Linked DNA regions of Schizosaccharomyces pombe. The main gene of each other region encodes a partner of the protein of the gene in region 2 in a complex. Each region holds a gene or a part of one and is shown on either strand. Other genes may lie near its edges. The genes, in order: mrpl51, mrpl39, mrpl32 and mrpl16.

Region 1 (4,269 bases), 1.0 Mb from region 2:
AAAAAAGCATACTAATGTTTTAAATAAAAAGGGTAACAACTGACACGGAAAAGGAAATAACACCAAATGTTGAGGAGTAAAAAGAAATTCAGAGAACTAACCCTATCGTTAAAAAAAAAAATTATTTTCACTGAATAAACCATGAGATATGCTTGAAGAGTAGCAGGTTAACAAAAAAAAAGAGAAAGTTATTCACAGAAATTAACTTAAAAAGAACCTTTGGCAGCCATGAGACGTTGCAACATTAGCAACTTAAAGGCACTGTACTGAAGGCCAGATACTTTTCCGTTATCAACCTCGGACGGAATCTTTTGCTGCAGGTTTTCCAACCAGTTGTTAGTGATGGTATAATTCCTTTTAAGTTTATTAATGTTGGTAATAATCTTTGTAGGAGTATCAGGTATGGAATCAAACGCAGATTCAGTAAGGTCAACGTTTTTAGAACCAACAAAAGTTTCGGAAGAGGAAGCAGACTTGTTTGATGCTTCATGAATTTTAATTACATGTCTTTTCTTGACACGTTCTCGGCGGCGGAATTGTGAGGTACCATGACTACGACCAAAAATGGATGGCCTAGCCGTGGTGTCATTTGAACCAAGATAGTCTGATGCGGAATATTGGGTTGCAGGGGAAGATACAGCAGAAATATCATCAGATTGAGTAGTCAATTGCTGTATAATCGTATCGGGAGGAGTTGACCGGTATATGGACATAGGTATTGAAGGAGAAGAAATAGGAAGTAGTGCTTTTCTGGATAAGGCTAAAGAAGCAATAGATCGAATGTTAGGATGCGTTTGGACATCCAATGGGCCCATTTTAATTGGGAGATGAGTGTCGACTTTCGTAGATTCATGATAGTCGGGAGGACCATCTAGCAAATCTGGGTTATAATTAGCCAGAGAAGTATGAGATTGGTTAGGAGAAGTGAAAGGAATTTTTTGAAAAGATAGATTAGAGTCGGACTTGGCAAACCAAATTCTTGACATTTTGTATATGATGGAAGGAAGTTCTTCCTGAAACAGGGAGACCAGTTGCACCTCGATTTCTCTTTGTAAAAAGCGAGCAATAGCAGGAATAGAATCAAAGGAGGAAGATACACGCACGGATTCTAAAGGATCGTTTCGAAATACCACAGTGATACCTTTCTGCTTTGAAAACACCAAAACAACTATTCCGTTAAGCTTTAAGTCGGAAAGTCGTAAAAACATAGGCACAGTAAGCGGTGCACGAGATGCTAACATTGTATTACGAGAACTAAAACTGGGAACATTACTTTTTTGCACCGATAATGGATTGGCACGAATTTTTGTTTGCAAGACCAAAGAAGCATCACCCGAATAATGGAGATTAAAGAGGCCCTGAAAGCGGTCTGGCGCTAAGTCGCCAACCTCTAAAATTTCCAGTTGAGGAGGTTGGGGACCCAAATCCAACTCTTTTACAGTGATGTGGTCTGCAATCATCGAGTGTTTAGTGCCTTTGTTTAAAGCAGCCGTAAGCAAAGTGGTTGCTCGCTCATAGAATGACTCAGAGAACTGATCACTCCATCCCTTTACACGAAACGACATTCTGTTGATTTTCCTAAGTTATCTACATCAACTATGAAAAATGTCAAATTTTTTTGTAAGGAACCGTCTAGTATAGACTAAGTAACTAACGCTTTAGATCAATTTCTTTACAAAATTTTTATTAAATTCGGATAGGGAAACGACAACTTCCATACAGTGGCGGACAGTAAATAAACATCGATAGGCTGGCTGATGCACTAGTGCGGCATACTGAACCTTGATATAGCCAAGATAAGGATAGGGTCGATCGTACTGTATATGAACGAAGGTGTATTAGAATGCATTAAATAAATTATTACAAAATGCACAGTAGTTTCTTATGCTATACTGGTGAAATATATTTTCTTGCTATTCTGTTCATTTAGGAGGGATAAATAAAGCTTCATGAAATGAAATTCCTTAGATATTCAAATCAGAAATTCAGCCATTATTTTAGAAATGATATTAGTGGTGTTGCTTACTGTATTAATTTGCTATGTTGACAAATATCTAGGCTGAAGAACTTCGAGTACAAGAACCGATACAACTTTGCTCTTTCAGAAAAGGATATCTCTGCATAAATGAATGATATTAAATCAAAATTGTTCGTTTTAAAAAACCTATATTATGTTTGTTCGCAGTCCATGTACTACGTTAAAAAATCACTGTAAACTTTCTAGATATCATTATTTAGAGAAGAGCAGAAAGGTAAAGTATTGCAAAGTGTGTAACCAGAAACTGTAGGTAGACAGTAAACTTGATTTTGTTGCTAAAATTTTTTATAAAACTAATTGCATACTAAGTTTAACATTCTAAATCAATTGGAACAAGTATTGAAGTTTAGAGCAATTTGGGATTTGCGAATTTCCACACACCCCTTTACGTCTCCATACCGACTTTTCATTATTTCTGCAAGGATTTGCTCACCCAACTTTTTTCAATATAGCATATTAAGAATTCTGGTTTTTAAAAGACGGTATCCCCTTTTTTACGGCCTTTTACTCACTTAATGATGATTGAAATCATTCCTAAAATTTCAATTCCCAAAAATGGACTAGGTTCATTTACCCGCCCAGTAAGATTTAATCAGCTTTCTTTTTTTTTAAAAAAAAAAAAAAAAAAAAGATTGGCCTTCATTAACTTCGTATTACTAATTTTCTTTTTAGTGCCGTCGAATTGAGTTTTCGTATTGTAATTGGGGTGGAAGCTCAAAAGGCATGAAAGAATTTTTATCCACAAAGCTTGAGTCTTTGGCCAAAGAATCTCAAGATGTGGAATTTCATGTTACAAACCGCCAAGGCAAGCATCCATTAATCCGAGCTTATTACAGTACGTCCAAGACTTTTCTCTTATTATGGTGATCCTCTTAGTTTTATAAATATGAACTCCTTAAAATAGTGTTTTTTACTAATGCTACGATAATAGATACTGGTCGAGAGAAGGTCATTTGTACAAGGAAAATGTCAGCGTCTTCAATATTTCAAAAAGCAATTCTATGCAGAGATAGTGATGGTTTGAAACCTCGCCTCATAAAATATCCTGTTGAGTCAACAAACCCATCCGTTCGTGGTATTTGGAGTCCATTTTCCGATCAAGCAAAGCCCCATGAAATTTATAAGAAAAAGTCCCCTTAGATTCCTCTACAAACTACTTATTATTTCATACAAAAAAAAGAAAATTCAATTTAATCATTTTCGTTATGTTATTATGTCTAACCTTTTTGTCCGAAATACAAAACCCTATCCAAATTTATCTTCCCATAAATACTCTAGTTAACCAGGTAGTAAGTGTACAGATGTATCAAATCCCTTCTTTTTCAATATCAGGAATATGCAACGTCCCTTTTAAGCTTTTTAAAGAAACAGAACAGCCATAGCAAACATTTTGATTCTTAATACCTTCAACGGAATCCGGATGTTCAACCGTAGTTTTTTGTAACCAAGTCTCAGCATCTTCTTGCATTGGTAGATTACAGATGGTACATATGGCTTCTGTAGAAGGCACATGCAATTTTGAGCTCATTTTGACAACGGTGCTAACCAGACTTGGGAATGTATCATTCAGCGATGAGAAATATGATTCTGTAACGCCATGAATAGTATTAGGACGTGCTTCAATTAAGCTATCGCAGAAAGCTAATCCCTTAATGTTCATATACGACTTGAGGTCTGAAGACAAAACTTCACGTAGGGGACGTAGTAGGAAAGTATCGCAATTTGGAAGCTTAGAGCAGACAGAAGTGTACCATGGTATCGCAAAACCTCGACCCTCTGCCACAAGTTCAAGAACTCTTGCAGCAATTGTAGTACCGCTATCACCAAAAACAATGGTATCACAATTTGCCTTCCGGGCATAGGATACTAAAAGCTTATCCCGAATTCGGTAAAGTAAATCTTGACGCGAGGCTAACGAACTAATGACTTCTGGATTAAATTTCTCATTATCTGCGTTTATTTCTATATTTCCTCGTGAGTCTGTAGCAATGGTACGGTTCAATAACTCAGCTTCACCAATAACTTTGAATGGACATTTAGGATAATTTTTGGAAATACTTTCCTCAATCGTTTTTGCAACAGCTGAATCCGTTCCCCACTGAAAATGAACTGCAAGCAATTCATCAAACATAGGCCGGTAATTATCATCTCGATATTTTGATAAATAATTGGCTGTTTCAAGCATTGCCATTGAAGATATACCACCGGAAATAGCCAGCATTGCTCTTTTA
Region 2 (4,132 bases):
TCCTCTTCTTCTAATGTAGAGAATTCATTATAGTTTTTAGAAGTCACCTTTGATCCTAGTGAAGTCATTTCAATAGTAGGGGAAGTACGTTTTCCCTTTTTCTTTTTTTCACTAGCTTCTTTTTGATCTTTTTTTCGCTTTTCCGGCTTTTTATCTTTTTTTTCATGAACTTCTGGTAACTGTTTGTTAATAAATTAGATAATAAACAATTATACCTCATAAATTACTTCTTTCATAGCACCTTTTGGCTGATATTTGATATCCACACCTTCAATCTCTTCCAAGCCCATAAACCCATCGAAGTCGTCTAGGTGGTCAGGAAGCTTGACTTCCTTCCATTTAAGCTCGTCCAATGCAGCTTTCTTTGGCATCGTGATCAAAGCGTTGAAAAGTGTAGTAGTTTGCTCCACATAGAAAATGTAGGTAGACAAAAATTTACACTAAGAATTGGAACGAGGGAATAAAAATAATTGCATCGTATAAGCTAATAGAAAACAAATAATTAAATGTTACGAAGACATTAAACGACGATTGGTTTTAGCAATTCAATGCTTTGCCATGTTTTGCATAATTTCTAAATAGTACAACCATTTTGTATTAAAAATATTGCTTGAGAATTTTAGAATCGAATGATCTGAGCTACAGTGCTTACAAGAGTAGTAAACACAAACGATGTTACTACTATAGTTCTAATTCGGCTAGCAATTGGTACAGGTGAAAGGAACATTCTTATTACTTTGAAAATTTGACATCTCAGTCCTTCTCTTAAATAATAATAATAAAAATAGGAATTATAGATATGACAGAATAATATAAGGGTCTTTATGTTCACGCAGCTGTTTAGAATTATGTCGTATAAGATGTAGGTTGGGAAGCTAATACATAATTAATGCACATCCATAAAGTTTTTGAAGAAAAAAGGTAGATTGATCGGTCATAATTTAGCATTTCATTTTCAGACTATCATTGAAATGGAAGAAGTTTTTATTTCATTTTGGATTCTTCGAAAAGTACTCTTTTGTGAATTCTATGGGTTCATTCATTAGCTTCTTAAATGAGGCTTTAGAAAATCCATAATAACTTACTTGGGATCATATTTTATAAAAGCAAGCTTAGGAGCAGCTTTTGGACGTGAACGAACGTAGAAAAATCCAGTGCCAGCGGTGGACAATAATTTTACAAGCAAACTGAAAAATAAATGTTAAAAATGCGCATTAAATTAAGCATGTATGTCTTACCGAGCTTTATTCTTTTTAGCCATTCTGGATATACGTACAGTGCAAGCGGTAAGTTAAAGGTTTTGTAGTTACACCAGGGTTTGTGGGCGAGCTCTTTTAACTTGATGGATAACTTGCAGTCAGAAATGTAAAATTGAAAGTTTGCAATTCAAAGATATTGTTTTGAGTAATGAGAAAGCCTTTTTGCAATCCAATTTTTATTAAATTTGGTTGTGTACAATCGAGGCTTTTCAATAGGTTATTTTTTTGTTTTAGGTAGACTATAGAACTATTAGTAAAGATAAAAGGCTCATCAATGAATTACTTGTTTTGAAAAAAAGCATTTAGATTTGAAATTCTAATTGAGAAACATGCATGACGGCACTTAAGAACGAAAGACGAACAGTAAGAATAAAAAAATTAGAAAGAATTTTTGAATAAAAATAAAATAAAATAAAAAATAAAAAAATGTTAATAAGGAAAGTATAACAAATTGAGTCTGCTGCGTCTCTTCTCCTGATGTCTGCCAATTTAACAGAGAGGAATAATTAACAAACTATAAGTAATCTTATAAATAGAAGTTGCTGTTCTATTAACATTCGAAGAAAAAATATGAAGTGATGAACAACTCTTGAAAAATTCTTTTTTTTTATTACAATTATTATTGTTTTTTAATTATTGGCTGTAGATGGGTATTTAATTAAAGTCCAATCGCGTCTTTGCCAATTTATAATCTTATTTGTATTTCTACATTTTTTTTGGAAAGAATGATATTCAAATGAAAGAACCAATTTTCTTTCAGGAAAAATTCTTTTAGTTAAAATGACATGTACTAGATGAATTAGGACGTTAAGAATGAACTAATTGCAATAGCATAGTTTGCTAGCGTGAAAAAAAAACACAGATGGAAATTAGCGAGCCTAGTAAAGAAACATTTATGACGAGGTGGTTCTAAAAAGCCTTTCGTGTATATATATATATATATTCGGCTCTAAACAAACGCAAGCTTTAAGTATCATTGTAACTGTAAATTATTGGCAATACTGAAAGTATAAGACGATCCTCAAGTTGTAAGCAAACCTAATTCATTTGCTGTACCAAGACTAGGATGGATGAGTTACAAGTCACTTTAAGTGTTTATGGGTCCAAAGAGAATATAAAATGTGTTTTCCCAATTTTACAAGGGTTAGCCAAATAAAGAATGCAAATGAACAAATCGCATGAATTGCGGAAGCTAGTGACATTGTATGACGATCTGCCCGAAATCCCAAGTCCGTATCTCATCCGCGAAATTGAGACATATCACGATGCATACGGAGAAAATCTATACAACGCAAGTATAGCCGCACCCAAAGACGGATATAGAATAGACTGGAGAAGGCTACATCCCTCGGATATGGAGACTGAATGAAAGAATTGAGAGAGTATTTAAAGCTCATTAAGTGCAATGTTTACGATTGTTATTACGGTTCTACATGGTCAATAGTATGGGAAATTTTAAAATAAACATTTTTCCTGGTTGTGAAAATGATGGAGAGAAGCAACGAAAATATCTTTAACTGATGCTTTATATATGTAGAATAAAAATTGAGTTGGAAATTACAGCAGGGATAGTAAACAAGTCAAGGATATGTTACAGTTGTCATTAGAATAACAAAAGGTTTAATAACTATCTTTTAAAGAGGATTTGACATTGTACTAAGGGCTGAGACAACTCGCATTAAATAAGCAAAGGCTGAATTAAGTAAAAGAATATTCGCACTTAATAGAGGAATACTATGTTAAATATAGGATGGATTTGCTGTGTATATATAAAATTATTATCCTCTTATATATACATATAATTATCGTTAATTATTATTTATATTTTATTTTATTTTCTTATCTTTTCCTTGGTTTTTATGTATTTACTAGTAAATCTATAATAATCATTAACTTTAATAACTTTCTTCAACTGATCAATTTCCCAACCAAAATGCTTTGTTATTTGTTCTTTAAGCTTGCTATGTTCTTTAGCTGCGTGTCTATCATCTCTTCTTGTTTGGCTTGGCACGTGCCATTTTACCATTTCTTGCTTCCTCCTACCTTTTAGGCCTTAATATTAACCCCCTGGGTCATCTTTTGGCATATAGGGTAAAGGGGCCAAACTCACTATCCAAGATAAGTCTAAGTATGCAACTGTTAACATTTCAGTTAAGCACGTTGTCTCCTATAAGCAAGTATAACGTAGTTTAAAAAGAACGTTAAGTTAATTAGTCTGCACATAATACAAACATGGGATAGTGAGACAATATCGTCTGTTAGAGTAAATTTTCCTTTCTTGAAAGATTTTCCATTTTTGTGCATGAAAAGGCGTAATTTAAGATCATGCGATGGGTAGTACAGGTCAAATTGATAAACCGACTTTTACCAGTTTGTGCTATCAGATCTCACACTGTGCTCTCCTTCCGTCGCATTATTTTGTTATTTTTTGAGCTGAGTATTCCCGTAATCCAAGGACAAGCGTCAGGGTGTGTACGATAGTTGATCTGTTTAATAAAGAAACATATTATTAGAAAAATTAGGAATCATCAGGAAATCAACAAGTTCCAAAATGGGTCTTTGCTCCCCAAGTGTTCCCTTATACACTCGATCAAGAGATGAAAGTATCGGGTCAGTACCCGTGCTTCTTTGGCTTGGGCTTACTAAGTAGCTATAGTAAAACCTGGTGACATTTCTGTTTTTGTTACACACTGTCAGTTTTATCCTATAACCCTATACTACACTGTACCCCCGCCGTGTGATCGGCGCACAGTCACGAAAATTGCAGTCATAGTTACAGTTGGAAAAAATAGTGCATGGGCCACAAAAAGTAAGTTAAGTATTAGAAGAACAATAAGAATAGTATAGACTCTTCATGAATACAATGTTCTCTA
Region 3 (4,212 bases), 1.2 Mb from region 2:
AAAAATAATGAAAAACGTTTTGACAAAGAAGCTTCTGGTCGTATCAACGACCTTCGCGCAGAGCAACAGCAAATTATGCTCGAAGCTCGCCAGAAAGCAATTGAAAGGCGGAGGAATGAAGAAGAAGAACTTGCTCGATCACGAGAACGAGCCCGTAAAAAAGCTGAAGAAATAAAGATATCATCATCAAAGATGAATTCCTCACCCACTATTACTAATGAGCGGTCTTCCAATGTCGAGTCTAGCAAAAAAGTTGAAGCAATATACACTAAAGAGCCTCAGTCTATTACCAATAGTCCCGAAGGACTACATAGTAACCAAGAGACAACAGAAATTGATCCTTCTAGCCCCAGAGATGATTCTACTCCGCTTTCATGGAGAAGTCATAGTCATCCAATTCCTCCTGTTCAAGTCTCGCCTTTATTTACGTCGGATAAAAATGATCCTTTACAGTTGAATCCCCAATCTGATGATAGTACTTCTTCCCCGAAACATGGAAAGTCTCGGAGTATTGATGAAGTTATTTTAAGTATAAAGGATGTCATTTTTGACAATAACTTATATAAACAGAGATCCTATCAAAGTGGGGTGGCCGCAAATGCTCATTTACCCCATCGTGTCCCCAACGAACATGGAGGAGTTTCACGCATTGGCAATTCTAATGCTCTCGGTCAACCTGTTTCTTCATCCTCTTCTTACAGCCACTCCAAAGGTCGTGATACCAGAAGTAGTAGTTATGTAGTATCCTCGGAAACGAGCTCTTTAAAATCATCGAGATTGATACTTAGTCATGCAAATTCTGTTCGAATTCAGCGATCGAAGGGCGATGTTATTTTGAATTTACATTTGCCTAAAGTGAACCCGGAGCGGTTTCTTCCTACTAAATCATTAAAATTAGAGGAAATGAAACCATTAGAGGAGAAGGTTCCTATATACCGCTCATCTTCCAAACAACCCCTTCGAATTCATCCTACTCATCCACTGCGTGTAACTGTTTGTCTTCCAGGTAGCAAGACAATTCAAGTGGCTCGTCGCTCTTTTCGTAATTCAATGAACGCTAATCGTTATGATCCTCAACGCCGAGAACGAATTGATTCCGGTTTATGGAGGGCGAAAAACTAGCTTGGTTTTTTCTTATTGTTATCGTTTATGTATACTTTACATGAGATTATAGTCTCTTTTGTGTTTTCGATGCATTTAATATTATTTACACGCTTACAACATAAACGTGTATTGAAAAAGGATGAAAGCTAAGAGATATATTCAGCTTTTTTGTTATTTTTTCACTCTAAATTCTTTTGCATAATATATGATATTTATACTCAACCGTACATAGTCAACAAATAAAATTAAGTAAAAAAATTCTTTGTTATACGCGTATTTTTAAAAAGGGTGTAGTTCATTAATCGTAATACTGAAAAAATTTAAGTAGTGCGAGCAGATTCAATTCACTAACTGCAATACTATTACATGAAACAACCTTATATTTAATGTTAAGTCCATTTTTTTTCTTAAAATAAAGATTTGCAGCATCACTAAATCAGTGAAGAAATGCTTAATGCCCTTCATTCGTTAAATTCTCGACGAATATTTCTAAAACAGTGAGAACATAAATGATGTGCCAATTTAAAAGACCCGCAAATAGGACAACGATTAACTGTTTTGTCTTTTAATGCTTTTCCGGACAGTAAGCGACTTCGTTTCTTAGTATAAGAAGTTTTTTTCTTTGGAACAGCAAGCAAAATGGAATTCCATATATTAGCTATTGAAGGGGGGGAAATAAATATCCTCAAAGAAATATGAGGAAGGGCGCTAGCTTGAAAAACTGATAACATTTTTTGGCTAATTGCCAAAGAATTTCCTCTTAAAAGAGCCATTTTCGACCCAAGCGCGAACAGTAGAATATTGTTGGGTACAGTAATGCTGAACAATATTTTAAAAGTTTTCTCAAGGTAAGGCGAACTTAGTTACTGCAGAACTTGATCTTAATTATATAGTTATAAAACGATGCATATAGCCGTTTTCTAAAACCAGTAGACCCAATCACAGATAGATTTACGATCTCCGAGAAAAGAGTTTGAAATAATTGGAAGTCGTCAAAAGGAAACTTAAAGACCAGTTACTTTGGTTTCGAGACAATGCTTAAGAAGTAGGCTGCTGCCTAAATCTATAGTCTGCTGTTGAGTAGTAATAACCCATGTATAACGAGACTCCTCAAATTCACTATTGCTTTGGCTTGACATTTAAATGCTAAGTGCGCTCTCTCTTTATTAAGTCTCGCAGTTTAATGTTGACAATTTTCTTAAGCTCATGAACTACGCTACAATCATAGTCCATTTAATTATTTGAAGTTTTCTACGTATTTGTACTAATTTTAGTAGATCAAAAATTTTGTGAAATATTCCAGCAGGCGTTTCACTTTGAGATTCCACATAATTGAAATTGAAACATCGCTTTAAAAGATTCAAACCTATTTTGACTGATTCAAGATCAATCTCAGAATCATGTACTTACATTTTGAATACTTTGATAAGTTAGTCTTCCTTTTAGTTTTTTTATAATGCATTGCGAATATTAAAAAGTTGAGACTTTTAGAAAGAAGCATTGTCTCATTTATTATAAAAATTATCCAAGTGTCACTGAGATCATTCTTGGCAGTAAGAAAAAAACAAAAAAAAAGGAACAGATAAGTAAAGTATGCACTAGAAAAAGGAATTAAAGTAAAGCAAAAAAGTAGTTAAAATGTACTCTGTTTGAATCTGCCCAACCTGCGGATATGGATTTTAGTGGAGGAGGCAAAAAAATAAACTCAGGTACATATATTCTAACGAACTGCAAAAGCATATTAACGATAAATAAACAATGTGAGAAGAAACAGTTTTTAAGCAAACGTTGGAGGATATTCCGAAACTTCTAACAGCAGATGTTTACTCAAAAACTTTTTTGACAAGTTAGCCTATTTACCAGAATGATGTATGGATTTTATCAAAGGGATAAGGGATGAAACTGGAACGGCTTGCTTAAGAAACGGATGCCTTAAAAGCTCACCGGAGCTAGGGCGTTGCTTAGGATTAACAGTTAAAGATTTAGAAAGAAAATCATGGAAAACAGAACTTAACAATTCTGGCCGACTAATCTTTGGAGTACCAATAGTAGCAATTAAATATAGAGCACGTAAAGGATTTTCGTTTAAATACGGGGGCTCTCCCTCTACCATCTCTATAGCCATAATACCAAGACTCCAGACATCAACTTTGAAACCATATTCCTTTCTAGTAACGACTTCTGGAGCCATCCAATATGGAGTACCAACCATCGTCGTTCGTTTCGTCATGTTACTGTCGATCTGAGCACAAAACCCAAAATCGGTAAGTTTAATATCTCCTTGAAGTGAGAGAAGGATATTGTCTGATTTTATGTCACGGTGAACAATGCCATTTTCATGGAGATGCTGTAAGCCTTCCAACGTTTCCTTACATATTGCAGCTATCTGACCTTCTGAAAGAGTGTTATTGGTAACCACTTCAGTAAGACTGCCACCGCGCATGTATTCCATTACCATCCACAACTCTGATTTATAGAAGAAAGTGTCAATAAAATTGACAATGTTTTTGTGATGATGTGACTTCATCACGAGTATTTCATTGACAATAAATTCCTTTTTTGGCTGTTGATTAATGTTCATTTTCTTGATGGCAACAGAAAGATTAGTGCCGACTTGGCGAGCAGAATACACATCACCAGAAGCACCTTGACCAATTTTAACAAAATTTCGATATAAAAGTGTTGGATTTTTGGGATTGCATATAGACTGTAACTTTGCCAATACAGCAGAATCATTGGATTGTTGTCGAGGTGCACGCTTTTGAAGTCGAGGGGCACTTGGTGCTTCCACTTTTTGAGGAGTCGCAACAGCTTTCGGTTTGGTGCTAGTCTCGGCTCTCCGTTGATATGGTGTCGAGTTATTCGGACGGATATGTTTCGTTTCAGATGTACTTAAGGTTTGAGGCGTTAACAAAACAGGGGAATGACTTCGGATTATATTATCGGTTGACTTGCTGGAAACTAATGGAGAAGGTTGTCGAGAAGCATTAGAGGTAGTAGTTTTAACTGTTTGTGATGATAATAAAGGAGACGATGAAGAACTTGCAGGAGGCGTGGGAGCAGGTCGAGAAGGATACAAACGAGAAGATGAGCTTGTAGCAGAGGTGG
Region 4 (4,911 bases), 810 kb from region 2:
AGGAGTAGCGCAACCAACGGTGTCAGCAATACCAACACGGTTGACGCCAATCTTGTCTACAGCCTTGTAGAGAGAAAGGAGATCGACAAGATCAGAACGGAAAGAATCCTCAGATGAAAAGCGGACTTCAATACCCTTGCTCTTGACAAAGTTGATAACTTCGGTAGCGCTGTCAATAATGTAAGTCATGTCCTTTCCATGGGAATATTTGCGAAGATATTGAGAAGTTCCGATAACAACATCAACACCATCAACTCCAGTCTCAACAGCGACACGAGCGTCATCCATATGACAGCGAATATGAGTTAAAATTTTACACTTTAAGCCCAATTTGCAAATAGCTTCGCAATCTTGGCGGGACTGCTCAGAAGCCACGGGAGAAGTCAATTCAATGTAATCGACACCAAAGTTGTCCAATGCCTTAGCAATTTGAATTTTCTTCTCGGTGTCGAAAAAAGCGTTTGCGAATTGCTCACCTTCACGAAGAGTAGACTCAATAATGGAAAAGTTATTGACACGTGAAAGAAAATCAGATGGGTTGGGACCATAAGGGTTTCCATTCATAGGAGGCTTGATGGTCTCAGTACCATTAGCTTCGGACACAGACATGTTGATGACTTTAAAATGCAAAAAAAGGAAAAGGAAAAGCGAATTTTCTAAAATGAATTAAGTATAAATATATAAATTATACAATTCAACAACTTATTGTCCCGAAACCTGTTAGCTTTGAATTTTTTAAGCTAAATCTTTTATCACTGTAGAGGAGACAACTAAGAGCAAGGATGCACGTATGTATGAATTTCAAAAAATTCGACCCTACCCTATTTATTTACTGAAAGAAACAGTCACTACCAACTCGTAGGCAACCGCGGTAATTTATGGTAGAAAATTGATTTACAGATCCCGATCGATCTTGATGAGATTTAATCAGATCTATGGTAGTAATGATTAAGTTACTGATCCACTCAACAGTGGATTGCTAAGCTAGGTTCTAGAAGGTATAGTGATTTTTTTTGTAAACGTTGTAAATATTTTAGTGGAGTTGATTTGAATAATTTCATTCGTAATTCCATAGTAAAATCAGTTTCATATTATTTAAAGTGTACTTTTTGATTCACTTCATGATTTCGCACATATACAACGTGCCGTTTTTTACATCCCGAAAAAAAGTCCCCAACGGAGCAGAGAGCAGCAAATAAGATTTTCGCCAAAAACACTCATTACCGTTACCAACTTTTCAGGACCAAAGAAATTTGATGTTTTAACGAAATTGCCGAGCCGTAATCAAAGTGAATCAAAAGTGGTTCATATTTCGCCAACAAAAATTAAGCAACTCTCTCATTGGGGATGAAAGTTCCCATTTCGAAAATAGATAATGAAACATAGCGCAAAATGTACAATGTTTTAAGGCATTTCTGGCAAATTTCATTCACTAAAACATAGAATAACTACAACGATTGAAAAGAAGCTCATGAATGTCTGTACAAAGATGCAGCATTAAGTTCACAAACTAAGTAAGTGAGAAGTATGACAGAAAAGTAATTATTGAATGGGTTAAAAATAGATAAATTCAGCTTAACTTTTCCCTTAAACAGCTGTAGTAGTACTGGTAATTTCCTGATAGTTCATTTTGCTTGTCTCGGTGGTAATGGGGGTTTCATGAATCAGTGTGGTACCCAATCTTTTGGGGGTTTGCTTGACGATAATCTCATACTTGCCTGGAAGGTGAAAAGCGGCTTGCTTCAATGCATGCTCAGCTAACTCTTTACGCATTCCATCACCACCAATTTCAAAAAGTACACGACCGATTGGTATCCGTGCAGCCCAGTATTCAAAAGCTCCTTTGCCTTTGCCCATACGAGTTTCATTTCCTTTTACGCATACTGGCACATTGCAACAAAAACGTGTGTATACCCGAGCAGCCTTGATAGGTTTTAATATACGCTTGAGAATCTGTTCGGCAGTTTCGAGTTGCTTGGCATGAAATCTTATACTTCGATCTTTTAATCGCATACCATATTCTCCCCATTCAAGTTGAGTACCACGTAGTGAACCTCCTATGGGTATAGGGACTCTTCCTTTCTGAGCTTTTTGGTTTCTGATGCTTCTGGGTGCATACTGGTGTCCCCAACGAACCATCGTTTGGATAGGCGGCATTTGTAAACCATTCAACCTCGTAGGTCCTAAAATACCAGAAAAAAAGAAAGGAAATTTATTGTATTGTTGTAAAGCCATATTATATAAGTTTTTATGTTGTGAGGGTTTCAAAAAGTCATAAAACAACGTGTTTTTATTATCATGCAAAAGTCGTTCTTTAAAGTTACTCAGAAATATTCAAAATAATCAAATTTAAGTATTATATTTCTTTTTTTATGGGAAAATGGTAACAATAGTAACGATAATAGGCCTGCTATTTTTTGTATGAGAAGGGGGTTAAAGGATACTTGGATTCTGTATGTGTTGCTGCCACTTATCCTAACTAAGTTCCGGGAAGAAGCCGGACAATAACTGAACATTAGCTATAATTATTTATTTGTTTGTTTATTAGTTTGTAAAAAAAAAAAAAAAAATTATCTTAAGCATTAGGCAAAAAAGATTATTTTCATAGATACTGAATTTAACGTGCGTTTTATGCTCAACACATTATTTGATTCAGCATCATCATTTCAATGACAACAATGCGTGAATAGAAATAAAACAGTGACTATTTTAGCTATTTCAAATAATATACTTAGCTCATTTCTTGTCAAGGAATTCTTGTCCTTGAAGAATAACAAAACGTTCAACTGTTTAGTGCCTCAGTATTGGTATTTGGAATGTTAAGACTGTCTTAAAAAAATCTTCTGATGTACGTTTATAAACCATTAGAAGGATCCTCTATCGAGCTAAACATTATTGTATGGACAATCGAACGTAAGAATGCCAAGCGCAACTCTTTTGTCCCCTGTAGCAAGAACTTGCTCACATCATGATTATAAAAAAAACAAAAAATGGGATTAGGAAATTATGAAGGATCTGCTAAAATCTTGCGCATTGATCTACGTATCGCGGGAAAAGAAGAATTGTTCTGCAAAGCGTGAATAGCCTGATATTCCCAGTTTTCTAACGTCTTTTGAGCAGCTTCCTTCTTTAATGAATTTGTATATGATTGGGATAAAGACGCTGTTCTCGTAGAAAACGTCGACGAAGAACTAGTTGTTGACATACTTTAATAAATATTCCGAATGGACACAACCTTGAAGACTTGCCAATTCGAATTTCTCTGATTTTACTGATTCTTGCTGTAAAAAGTCTTAAAAAATTCCAATAAGCTATAACACGCTTGATTGTTCAAGCAAAGGATTTGAGTTATTTGTAGAAATAGAAATGTGCTTACTCGCCATAGTTATGAACATCGCCATGTTAGTCTAGGTCTCGAAGAGAAATCGTTATTTCATGTTACGTATAACATCAAAGTTCGTTATTGATTATTTCTTATATCATTACATCATATACCTTTGTAATGCTTAACTGTAAAGTAAGCTTATTTACAGTACGAAGCAGTTAGCAAAAGAGAAGTACATTTTTATAAAATCAATCATGCGTAAATGGATTAAATTCGGGTTTCACAGTAATAATTTATCATTTTTTGAAGCTCTAACCCCTACGGTTCAACTATTTACAATCTAATCTCGACCTTAAAAAAACAAATATGCCTCAATAAAAAAAAAAAATTTCTTACATTTAGCCGGTTTTTATTTTTAAAGATAAATAGTATCAATATTAAAAGCACTTGATTGCGAGACATGAATTACAAAATGTATAATATTCAATTTCATTAGCTCGTATAGCGATTTTGCGTTTAAGAAACTTCGAAAAGGTTTTTTTAAAAAAATTAAAATAAAAACAAAGAAAAATCAAATAAGCTCATCAGTTGCAATCGGGTATTAAAAATAGAGCAACAAGTTAAAATGAAGGAATAAAAGCAAATTACTCATTAGGTAAGGGATCCAAACTCAACAAAAAGAAAATTAAAACTACTAAAATACAAACCAAAAACAAAAAAGTCAAATATGCACAACGAATACAGACATTAGGTGCTTCTCAAACGAGAAAGATTCACGTTACCACCCCTTGCCTCAAGGAGCTTCTGATAATTTAATAGACTAATCGTGATTGCAGGATTTCCATCGGGTTGTTGAGCTTCATAGTTTAGCAAAAGCTCGATCGCCTTCATAGCGTCTTTAGTGGTAATCTGGAATTCAGTAGATTCTTCTTCGTCCGTCTCGAAAGCGCGATCATCCATGTACTGCGAAGCAATTTGATTGATTATATCCTCAGAGGAATCAACAATATTCTCTTCTGAAGGACTTATAAAATCCTCTATACGCATAGCAGCTTGAACAGAAAACTCTGAGACGAGCTCACGAAGTGGATGAATCATTTCATCCAAGGCACGCGAGGTAACGGCAGATTCATTGAATAGACCAAGAACACCGGAAAGATTGAAGGCATTTTCAATAATTTCTGGTGATATGTCTGTCGTCCATGCTTTCACCAACCATAAAATAGCTCTTAAAACATTAGTAGTATTATAGGGATTGCGTCCCAACTCATTTTGTTCCAATATATATTGAACCCAGTGTTTGCGATAGCATGCTTTTAGAGCATAGATCACACCCTCACTACAAGGCTGGGAAATAGAGGCTGAAGTAGATGGTAAAGTAATTACAGTTGTATTTCTGAGGTCATTACCAGAGTTTCGAATGTTTTCAACAGCACGCAAATGTGGAGTATAGCTATCAATAAGAAGTATGACTTTGCGACCTTCCATACACGCATCAAACCAACGTAGCCATTCCTCCATTATAGCTGTGGTCATGGATGCCTTACCATTACTTCTCCATTTGAAATTCATTACTTCGGGTTTTA

What was found.
Region 1: mrpl39 (region 2) and mrpl51 share a complex: the UniProt entries of both Schizosaccharomyces pombe proteins name them as parts of the mitochondrial large ribosomal subunit.
Region 3: mrpl39 (region 2) and mrpl32 share a complex: the UniProt entries of both Schizosaccharomyces pombe proteins name them as parts of the mitochondrial large ribosomal subunit.
Region 4: mrpl39 (region 2) and mrpl16 share a complex: the UniProt entries of both Schizosaccharomyces pombe proteins name them as parts of the mitochondrial large ribosomal subunit.

Annotation. Positions count from the first base shown.
Region 1 is NC_003423.3:1,697,529-1,701,797, forward strand, and holds mrpl51 (mitochondrial 54S ribosomal protein mL43), read left to right. Parts: upstream 1-2,404; 5' UTR 2,405-2,553; coding exon 2,554-2,619; exon of another isoform or gene 2,620-2,710; coding exon 2,711-2,873; exon of another isoform or gene 2,874-2,969; coding exon 2,970-3,178; 3' UTR 3,179-3,344; downstream 3,345-4,269. Other genes in the region: protein Mdm34, read right to left, coding at 207-1,565; cytosolic thiouridylase subunit Ctu2, read right to left, coding at 3,345-4,269. UniProt on the Schizosaccharomyces pombe protein: Component of the mitochondrial ribosome (mitoribosome), a dedicated translation machinery responsible for the synthesis of mitochondrial genome-encoded proteins, including at least some of the essential transmembrane subunits of the mitochondrial respiratory chain.
Region 2 is NC_003423.3:2,699,989-2,704,120, forward strand, and holds mrpl39 (mitochondrial ribosomal protein subunit bL33m), read right to left. Parts: upstream 1,764-4,132; 5' UTR 1,262-1,763; coding exon 1,239-1,261; exon of another isoform or gene 1,188-1,238; coding exon 1,086-1,187; exon of another isoform or gene 1,055-1,085; intron 1,028-1,054; coding exon 985-1,027; 3' UTR 747-984; downstream 1-746. Other genes in the region: ATP-dependent RNA helicase Mak5, read right to left, coding at 1-179, 216-371. UniProt on the Schizosaccharomyces pombe protein: Component of the mitochondrial ribosome (mitoribosome), a dedicated translation machinery responsible for the synthesis of mitochondrial genome-encoded proteins, including at least some of the essential transmembrane subunits of the mitochondrial respiratory chain.
Region 3 is NC_003423.3:3,905,803-3,910,014, reverse strand, and holds mrpl32 (mitochondrial 54S ribosomal protein bL32m), read right to left. Parts: upstream 2,164-4,212; 5' UTR 1,878-2,163; coding exon 1,566-1,877; 3' UTR 1,284-1,565; downstream 1-1,283. Other genes in the region: SPOM_SPBC1604.12 (uncharacterized protein), read left to right, coding at 1-1,122; PAK-like kinase Shk1, read right to left, coding at 2,957-4,212. UniProt on the Schizosaccharomyces pombe protein: Component of the mitochondrial ribosome (mitoribosome), a dedicated translation machinery responsible for the synthesis of mitochondrial genome-encoded proteins, including at least some of the essential transmembrane subunits of the mitochondrial respiratory chain.
Region 4 is NC_003423.3:3,506,699-3,511,609, forward strand, and holds mrpl16 (mitochondrial 54S ribosomal protein uL16m), read right to left. Parts: upstream 2,436-4,911; 5' UTR 2,236-2,435; coding exon 1,588-2,235; 3' UTR 825-1,587; downstream 1-824. Other genes in the region: lys4 (homocitrate synthase), read right to left, coding at 1-609; protein tam12, read right to left, coding at 3,005-3,205; ARS-binding protein Cbp1, read right to left, coding at 4,073-4,911. UniProt on the Schizosaccharomyces pombe protein: Component of the mitochondrial ribosome (mitoribosome), a dedicated translation machinery responsible for the synthesis of mitochondrial genome-encoded proteins, including at least some of the essential transmembrane subunits of the mitochondrial respiratory chain.